Bombyx mori: one gene and its partner. Each later gene encodes a partner of the first gene's protein in a complex. Links are inferred from orthologs where the notes say so. Each region holds a gene or a part of one and is shown in the gene's direction. Other genes may lie near its edges. The genes, in order: phosphatidylinositol 4-kinase beta and Golgi resident protein GCP60.

Region 1 (3,830 bases):
TTATTATTTATTATTTATATTTATGTATAAGTTTTCGAGAGACGCACCAGATGGAACTGTGAAAGTTGATTCATCGTTTGTTCTGTGTGCATATTTTGTATTCATAATGCACAGCCTGTCAGTGCAGTATCTCGTCGACAACATTAATAATGTTTTAAATTAATCATCAGTAATCTGTTAAGTCGTAGGGCAGTAAAAAATGCATTAACAATCAGTTTTAAAAAGTTTATGTGGCTCATTTAATTGTAGCTGTACCTTTATCGATAGATCTGGCTTGAAAACAAGTCTCTTAAAGTGTAAGTGAGACTTAGATGATCGGAAGCTGACTGTTTTAGTTACTTTAAAGTATATAAATTACGACAGCGATATTATAATATCAATAAATCGCAATGGGTTAACAACTGTGGTAGGTACTTCGAACTAAAGCTACGACTAAATCCGTATTCCTTTTTTTTTCTTTCTAAAACGACATGAATTTAATTGTGATTGAATCAGAGATATTTTGAATTAGTTAGTTATTTTAGTTAATACTAGCGACCCGCCGTCGCTTCGCTTCGGAAACTGTAATTTATTATTGATTTCTCCACTATTTAATGGATGTTATTATACATATAAACCTTCCTCTTCAATCACTCTATCTATTAAAAAAAACCGCATCAAAATCTGTTGCGTAATTTTAAAGATTTAAGCATACATAGGGATATAGGGACAGAGAAAGCGACTTTGTTTTACAGTGAGGTAGTGATGTGAAACTTTCGGTTAACCCGAATGAAAATTTAACTCTACAGAACTAAATACACTATAGACATCCCTGTGTCACTCAAACGAACCGTTAACTCAAAATCCGCTTTATGCTCATTAACACTGCTATAAAAAAACAGGGAAGTAAAAATTATAATAATAGAATATTGTCTATTCTAGATTCAGCCTTAGAGAGGTTCAAATACATATTATAAAACTATTTGCTTGAATAACACGATCTAGTATAATAGCTTAATTGATTCATTGTACTCGTATTAAATAATCGAATTATCTAAGATGTCTCCAAACCGGTAACATTCTAGCGATAGCTTAATATTATTAAGTATTTTATCTTTACTATCATTATGACGTTATTCAATGGCTTTACGGAGAAATAAATAAGAAATGTTTGTTTTTAATTTTGTTAGAGTTGCTTATTGTGAGTTGTTTATGTTGCCAAGGAGATATGGGAATTTCGACCAAGGCTCTAGCCGCGTTGGATTTTGATTAAATAATGCTATGAATGTATGTATGCGGAATTTGAGCTGTTAAGAAAGTTAAGAAATTTGGATTCACTAATTTGTTATGTAACTAAATTTCGCTGATTTGAAATAATTTTAAAGTCTAATCAAAACTGTTTACGCACAAAAACTTTACTCTAGTCACCTTGTTCGATGCTCAAATAAACGCAAAAATAGACATGTAAAAAATCGAAGATTAGTGGTCGAGGCAATGACGTCTCTTCGTAAATGACTGGTAGTAGGACCTCTTGTAAGTCCGCACGGGTAGGTACCACCACCCCGCCTATTTCTGCCGTGAAGCAGTAATGCGTTTCGGTTTGAAGGGTGGGGTAGCCGTTGTAACTATACTGAGACCTTAGAACTTATATTTCAAGGTGGGTGGCGCATTTACATTGCAGATGTCTATGGGCTTCAGTAACCACTTAACACCAGGTGGGCTGTGAGCTCGTCCAACTATCTAAGCAAAAAACAAAAAGAAATTATAACAATTCTTATAAATGTATTTAATATACAGACAAAGTTCTGTTTAATCATAGAATAAATATTTATATATATTAACGTTGTGTCGTCCATGAGCTCCGCCAACCATTTAACACCAGGTGGGCCGTGAGTTTGGTCACACGTCTGTATTGTAAAAGATGAATGATAAACTAATTATCTGTTTTTTTTTTTTTATTTTTTTTTTTTTTATTTTTTTTTTATTGCCCTTGTAGGCAGACGAGCGTACGGCCCACCTGATGGTGAGTGGTTACCGTCGCCCATGGACTTCAGCAATGCCAGGGGCAGAGCCTACCGTTTAATACTCTCCACAAGCCTCGTTTGAAGAAGTACATGTCATAGCGCTCGGGAAACACCGTGGAGGGGAGCTCATTCCATAGCCGGATGGTACGTGGCAAAAAAGACCTCTGGAAACGCACTGTGGATGACCGCAGTGGCTCCAGGTAGTATGGATGAACTCTACTCCGGTGGCGGGCGGTGCGATGGTAAAAACGAGATGCCGGTATCATCTCGAACAATTCCTCAGAGCACTCCCCATGGAACATACGGTACAAAATACAGAGGGAACCGAAGTCCCTCCGCAGACCCAGAGGCTTGTATTATTTGAATACATTACATTGATACATTTGTCTCACAGGCTCCGTACATAATGTACGTGGAGGTACTAGAGACTGACGGGCACGAGCCTCTTCCTCCTCGCCAGCTGCCTCCAGCGCCACCAGCTCCCCACTCTCCCCCCATCAGACATACGAAGAGTGAGGAGAACCTCGTGCCTGAGTGGCCTGCGCTCTCCCTGTATTCGGCACTGGACGACGTGGACACCGGAGACTGCTGGAGTCATGACGACGATGAACTCAGCTCTCATTACGACCACAGAGCGCCCGCGCCCGACAGCGTGTCGCAGGTACGTACTTTAAGAACACGAGAACAAAACCTCCGATCCTAATCTGGCTTTTTTATATTGCTTATGAGGTGTGGTAAGTCCGCACGGATCCGGCTAAGAATAGTTCCGCCCCCTTATCTTCCCAGGGGTGTTGTAAAAGGCGACAGGGGGATTTAAATGCAAATATCCAGCGCCTTACCCGACTGGTAGCGGCCAATCTACCAAAAAAAGCATTTCCAAGGAGGGTTGACGTCAGGCAGGCGATTGACAGCGATAAATACGAGTGGACGAGCTCACGGCTCACCCGTTGTTAAGTGGTTACCTGAGCCCATGGACATCTATAACGTAAATATCGGCACCCATCTCGAGACCTGAGTTCTAAGAACTCAGTTTTTACGGTAGTGACTTAAACACACATCGCCTGCCGAGTGAAAGTGTATTAATTCAAAAGTTTTGACGAGTCATTCACTAAATCGCCAAGAAAAGTGTAAGCGAATCAGACTTTTTAGTTTAGTAACATCATTATAATAATGTAATTTCTTTTATGTTTTTTCATATAGTTTCATTCGTATTAAATCAACACATTCATAAAATTTTAATATGCACATAGATATTTTTAAACAGATCCGCTTTCATTACCATAAATCGTTATGTAATTGTGGAGGAATTAAATCATTAGAAATTGTATTTATATAATAATGAGTAGATTTAGCTTTAAACGAATGAAATTAAAATGAAAGATGAAAACGCTTCTGTGTTATACACTAGTGCATAACGCTTAAGGCATCTATTAGATCACTAACAATACCATTACGTACAATGGCAAATTAATTTTACGAGAACACACAATTAAATCGATTCGTAACTACGAATCAATCATAATTAATTTACCAAACTACTCAATAACTTTGAACGTACATGCATTATTCTGGAAATTGATTTTTTTTTGTTTGAGTTAGATGAAGGGTGCTCATAGTTAATCGACTTTTAGTGGTACATTGCTATTGATAAAACAGTAATAAAAAACTTGTGAAAGACAGCCCTATAAAATAGTGCTTTAGATTATTCAAACAGATGGTTATAGTCAATATGGTCGCTAAAGACAAAACACGAAAGAAAGAGCCTGCGCACAGTTTTATTGCGCGAAAAAGTCGTTATGAGATTGTCATTCTTAATGACGCCAGGGA
Region 2 (4,518 bases), on another chromosome or scaffold:
TAAGCAAATTAATATGAACAGAGGCAGGTGGTGTAGCAAACTCATTAAAATCACATGTTTATTACTCAACAACGTAATAAGTGCAAAGGTGTCAGTATGCAAAACCAATTCAATATTTCACTGATTGTGAGGGACATTATTAGTCATTACACAATGTGACAAGCAATAGCTAATCTATTTTACAAAATATATTTTGTTATGGGTATATACAATAAAATCATTTTCTGATGTAAAATAATTATTATAGAAAAGTAACTAATGAACAATTATCTATGTACTGTGCATAATATTGCAGAAGGCAACGGGAAACCACTGCACTTATTTCCCACGAGAGTCATGAGCAGGTCGCATCCGACTGATGCATGACCACTCTGTCAAGAGTGTACGAATAGGAAGAAGTGCTTAATAATATACAGCTGTCTTTGGTGCAGTATGACTGCTGGTGTTTAAACAACAAATATCTTCAACATAATTGTAAACATAACAAGTTCTACTTTTATGTTTACATTCAATTGAGGTCATGATAAATTAAGCAAAATTATTGATGTAAAAATGAAAAATGGTTAATTAGAAGAGAGTGAAGAGAAAGAAGCTTGTAACAGTTACAGATATTGATGCTGTAGATGGATATTTTATTCATGTATTTGGAAGGACCTCACCTTTGCAAATATTCGACGTTTGAGATTGTGAATTCTGGAGTAAATCCTCTGTTGAAGTAATTGCGTAAGGGTTGTGCCTGCCACATCTCTTCTGTTTATTCTCACCTTTATGTTCTATCGTATATGGATATCTAAACAAAAGCCTATCGCCCTTGCTGTCAGATTTCACAAAAAATATGTTTAATGGATTAACTTCCATGATTTTAGTATTGCGTCAAACCCAAATACACGTTTTCAATCTGCTTTAAATGATTACTTTATTTCATTGTGCTGTGAATAGTAACAATTAAAAGTGTATGAAATAGTTTCACGGCAGTCATTGTTACTTTTCTTTAGCACACAGCGACAAAGAGTAAAGAATTTCTTAATTAATATTTTGCTATAAATTAATGGTAAATAACACAGTATCGTATATAAACACTAAGTCTAATTTACTAATTTCGGTAAACAGATAAGTACTAGGCATAGACTACAATACTCTTTGTTTTTTAAAGACTTTATGGCCTGGTATTAAGACCTTTAAGTTCAAATTCTTATTTTCTCTTATTTATACTAAAAATAAAATAAAGCGAAATGGGATAAATTTTATTAATTTCAGATTTTTATCAAATGGGATGAATTTAAATGAAACGAGATGAGATGACTGAGACTTTTGAAAGAGCCTGAGAAGTTACGTTCGAAGACTTTGTTTAATTTTCCCACATTTGTGCATTTTCTCAGATGATAACAGTTAATAAACTACGATTATTACATATCTAAACCCGAGGAAACACTAAATTTACAAAATAAAACAATTCAACCAACTTCACTCCGCGTGTTCCCACCAAAAAATCCGCAGATACATTACAGTTTTCTGTGGTTAGTGTTGGACGGTTAAATTTGAGGGGATTGGGTTTTGTAGGTTTATGAGGGTCTATTTAAAAACACACTGCTTCATTATAATTATATTGAACACTGTTACACCATTATAAAATTATTATCTTTATAATACTCTTAGATGCTGCTCTGACCGTGTCTAGATGAGAAGTCCTTGACTTCACTTACGAGAAGACAATCATCTGCTTTTTTAAATATTTAAAATAATTCCAATATTCGAAATCTGCAATGATGTGTCATGTGTTGCCTGCTATTATATTTTCAAACTCCAACAGTTAGTGAACAGTTCATAAAACAGAATATACTAAAAATTAGGCTGTACGGTGTGATACCTTCGTCTTTCCGTTTGGAAAAATGAAACTGCGCTGTAAAAGCAGAGATTGTGGTTTATTTTGGTCTATGATTTTAATGCGTACAGCAGTCTGTCAGAAAAACATAAGATGGCTAGTAAAATCGATAGTAATATAAAAGTTAATCCAGAAAAAGTATTGCTAGAGACAGATCAAGGCATTGTCGACAGTGAAGAAAGGAAGTGGGGAATGCCCCTAAAAGAAGTATATAAACATGGAGTCTTTTTCTATAAAGGTAATGGGCATACAACTTACCGCTACACACATTTATCAAAACAATGATTCTGATATGATGTTCTTAGAAATTAGAGAAGGAAAACAAAGGTATGGATAGATAACCTAATATAAAAATGTCAAGAAGCTAAAATTAAATTTTATTCTTTTAGAAAAGGAAGGAAAAGCAATACATCTTAGCTATGAAGACAGGCTGAAACTGGTCGCCTATACACAACAAACCGCGCACGGTCCATTTGATCCCAATTCTGTACCACCTCTGGGTGTCTTGGATGTGATAGGGAGAGATAGGCATGCAGCTTGGCAAGCATTAGGTCAAATGTCTCAAATACAGGCTATGGCTGGCTTTGTCCATGCTTTAGACAGGTGAGAATTATAATATGTTTTATATTCCTAATATTGCTGGACAAGCTCGTAGCACATTCTTTGTTAAGTTATTGTACTCTATAGACATCAAAATGTAAATGTCACTCACATTGAAAATGTGCCCTGCCATCAGTAATTATGCAAATCATGCCTTTTAGCTAGACTAATTACATGATATCTATCTTTTATTGTGAGGGTTATTTCTGAACCTGTAGACAATTTAATACGTCAATTAATTAATAGTGCCTGAAGGATTTACATTCTGCCATGCCCAAATACACACTAGATGTGTCAAGCCACAAGAACTTTAAATTGCATTTAATACTTAATCGTTAAAGTAACAGTTTCCAAAATTAAAAAGTGTGTATTGATTTAAACCACTTAACACCAGGTGAGCTGAGAAGTCATCCACCTGTCTAAGCAATAAAAAAATTTAAAAAAACAGTAAATTAGCAGGAGGATGATTGTGTACACTGATAACCTGGAGAAAATTAGTTTCATTCATAACCTATCTGTGAATAATCAAAAATAATATAGCTCACGCAATATATTTAACCCATATTTTTAAGTGTATTTTTCTTATCTGTAAAATGAGTTAAAGTATCAGCAATGTATGTCAGTATCAGCTGTTTTATCACTTATTTACTAGACTGACTATCTTTGTGAATTCTATGTAGCCATATAACAAAAAAATCATACAGTCAAAGATAAAATATACAATGATGTGGACTTACAGGTTTAATACCTTTAACTTAATAAAACAGATAGATTCCTAGTTTTGCTTAGAATATTTTTGTTGTTATTTGGATTGACTGTAAATTTAAATTAACATATATCTACTCTATTAGTTAAGTCTATTATATCTAAAAATTACAGTTGAATTTATATAAATTGTGTTAGACAAGAGCTTGTCCAATAGAGCTTTGAAATCAGTTCAGTGTCCTACCAGAGTTTTAGATAATGAGAATATTTATTCTGTTCATTATTATTTATTCTATTTATTCATTTATTTTACTCATATATTTTATGTCGGCCTAAAATGTGAATCATTTGTAAACTTACTAGTCGTAAATTGAGAATGATGTTTTATTATCAACAGACTTTGTCCATTGTTCAAGCCATATTTGGAAGCTATACAGAAGGACAAGGAACAAAAGATGCAACAAGAGTAAGTTTAAAAAATTAACCATTTTTTACTACATTTGATGTCTTTGTTTCTTCTTGGTTTTTGGGGCACATTACAAAATCTTCCCTTCAAAAATAGTTTGCCTTAAAAAACTGACATTGGCAAGGTTTTGTTTTTAATTTAAACTTTTTCTTTTCTTCCATAGACTGTTGAAAGAGTCCACAACCTCACTTTTTTATTGTTTATATGGGTGCACAAGCTCGGGGCCCACATGATGTGTAGAGGTTACCGGAGGCCATAGGCATGAATGTCACCATTCACCTTGAGACATGAGGTCCAAACCACAATTACTTATTATAATCCAATTTACGGACACCAAAAAGCCTACCTCCTGTTTCATTACCTGTTTGTTTGAAGCTGGTAGATTGGAACTGATAGATTCCTTCAAGTAAATGCTGTATAGAGATATGAGATCGATAACAGAATTACATTGAAGACTTACCTAACAACGAAATTTAAACTTTATTGACCAAATTCTGTGCCTATCTATATGGCTAAAAAAAAAAGCTCGCTTTAAAGCTAAAAGAAATTTCCAGATCCTATTTTATGTATTTTACACACAATTTGAATTTGTGACTGCAATTTCGTAAATAATATTGCTTGAAAGATAAAAACAATATATTTTATAAATATATTTTGGAGGCACATTACAGCCATTGGCCAGTCTACTTGATTTATTAGGTAATAATTTTAAGGTTGAAACGAGAAGAAGAAGAAAGATCTCGAATCGAACTTCAAAATAGAGTCATGCTAGAGAAACAGAAGCAGCAAAGTAATAAAATAACGGAAGAACAACAAGTGTAAGTATGTTTGATTTAACTCCAAAATCAAAAAAGAAAAAAAGTGT

The links.
Region 2: the proteins of phosphatidylinositol 4-kinase beta (region 1) and Golgi resident protein GCP60 are in contact, whole or in part, in an NMR structure (PDB 2N73), measured with the Homo sapiens proteins. The link is inferred for Bombyx mori from reciprocal best matches to the Homo sapiens genes PI4KB and ACBD3. Residues at the interface, in NP_001317650.1 of Homo sapiens: Val37, Gly38, Val42, Ile43, Asp44, Pro45, Val47, Ala48, Gln49, Lys50, Ala51, Cys52, Glu54, Val55, Leu56, Val59, Lys60, His63; in NP_073572.2 of Homo sapiens: Gln245, Ile246, Ala249, Leu250, Gln253, Thr254, Gln257, Phe258, Tyr261, Gln265, Tyr266, Leu276, Leu280, Gln283, His284, Gln287, Tyr288, Gln291, Leu292, Val295.

The regions. Positions count from the first base shown.
Region 1 is NC_085115.1:3,737,789-3,741,618, reverse strand, and holds part of phosphatidylinositol 4-kinase beta, read left to right. Parts: intron 1-2,397; coding exon 2,398-2,664; intron 2,665-3,830. UniProt on the Homo sapiens protein: Phosphorylates phosphatidylinositol (PI) in the first committed step in the production of the second messenger inositol-1,4,5,-trisphosphate (PIP). May regulate Golgi disintegration/reorganization during mitosis, possibly via its phosphorylation.
Region 2 is NC_085124.1:9,512,251-9,516,768, forward strand, and holds the start of Golgi resident protein GCP60, read left to right. Parts: upstream 1-1,597; 5' UTR 1,598-1,975; coding exon 1,976-2,120; intron 2,121-2,271; coding exon 2,272-2,485; intron 2,486-3,584; coding exon 3,585-3,653; intron 3,654-4,366; coding exon 4,367-4,471; intron 4,472-4,518. Other genes in the region: GATOR complex protein NPRL3, read right to left, coding at 660-858. UniProt on the Homo sapiens protein: Involved in the maintenance of Golgi structure by interacting with giantin, affecting protein transport between the endoplasmic reticulum and Golgi. Involved in hormone-induced steroid biosynthesis in testicular Leydig cells.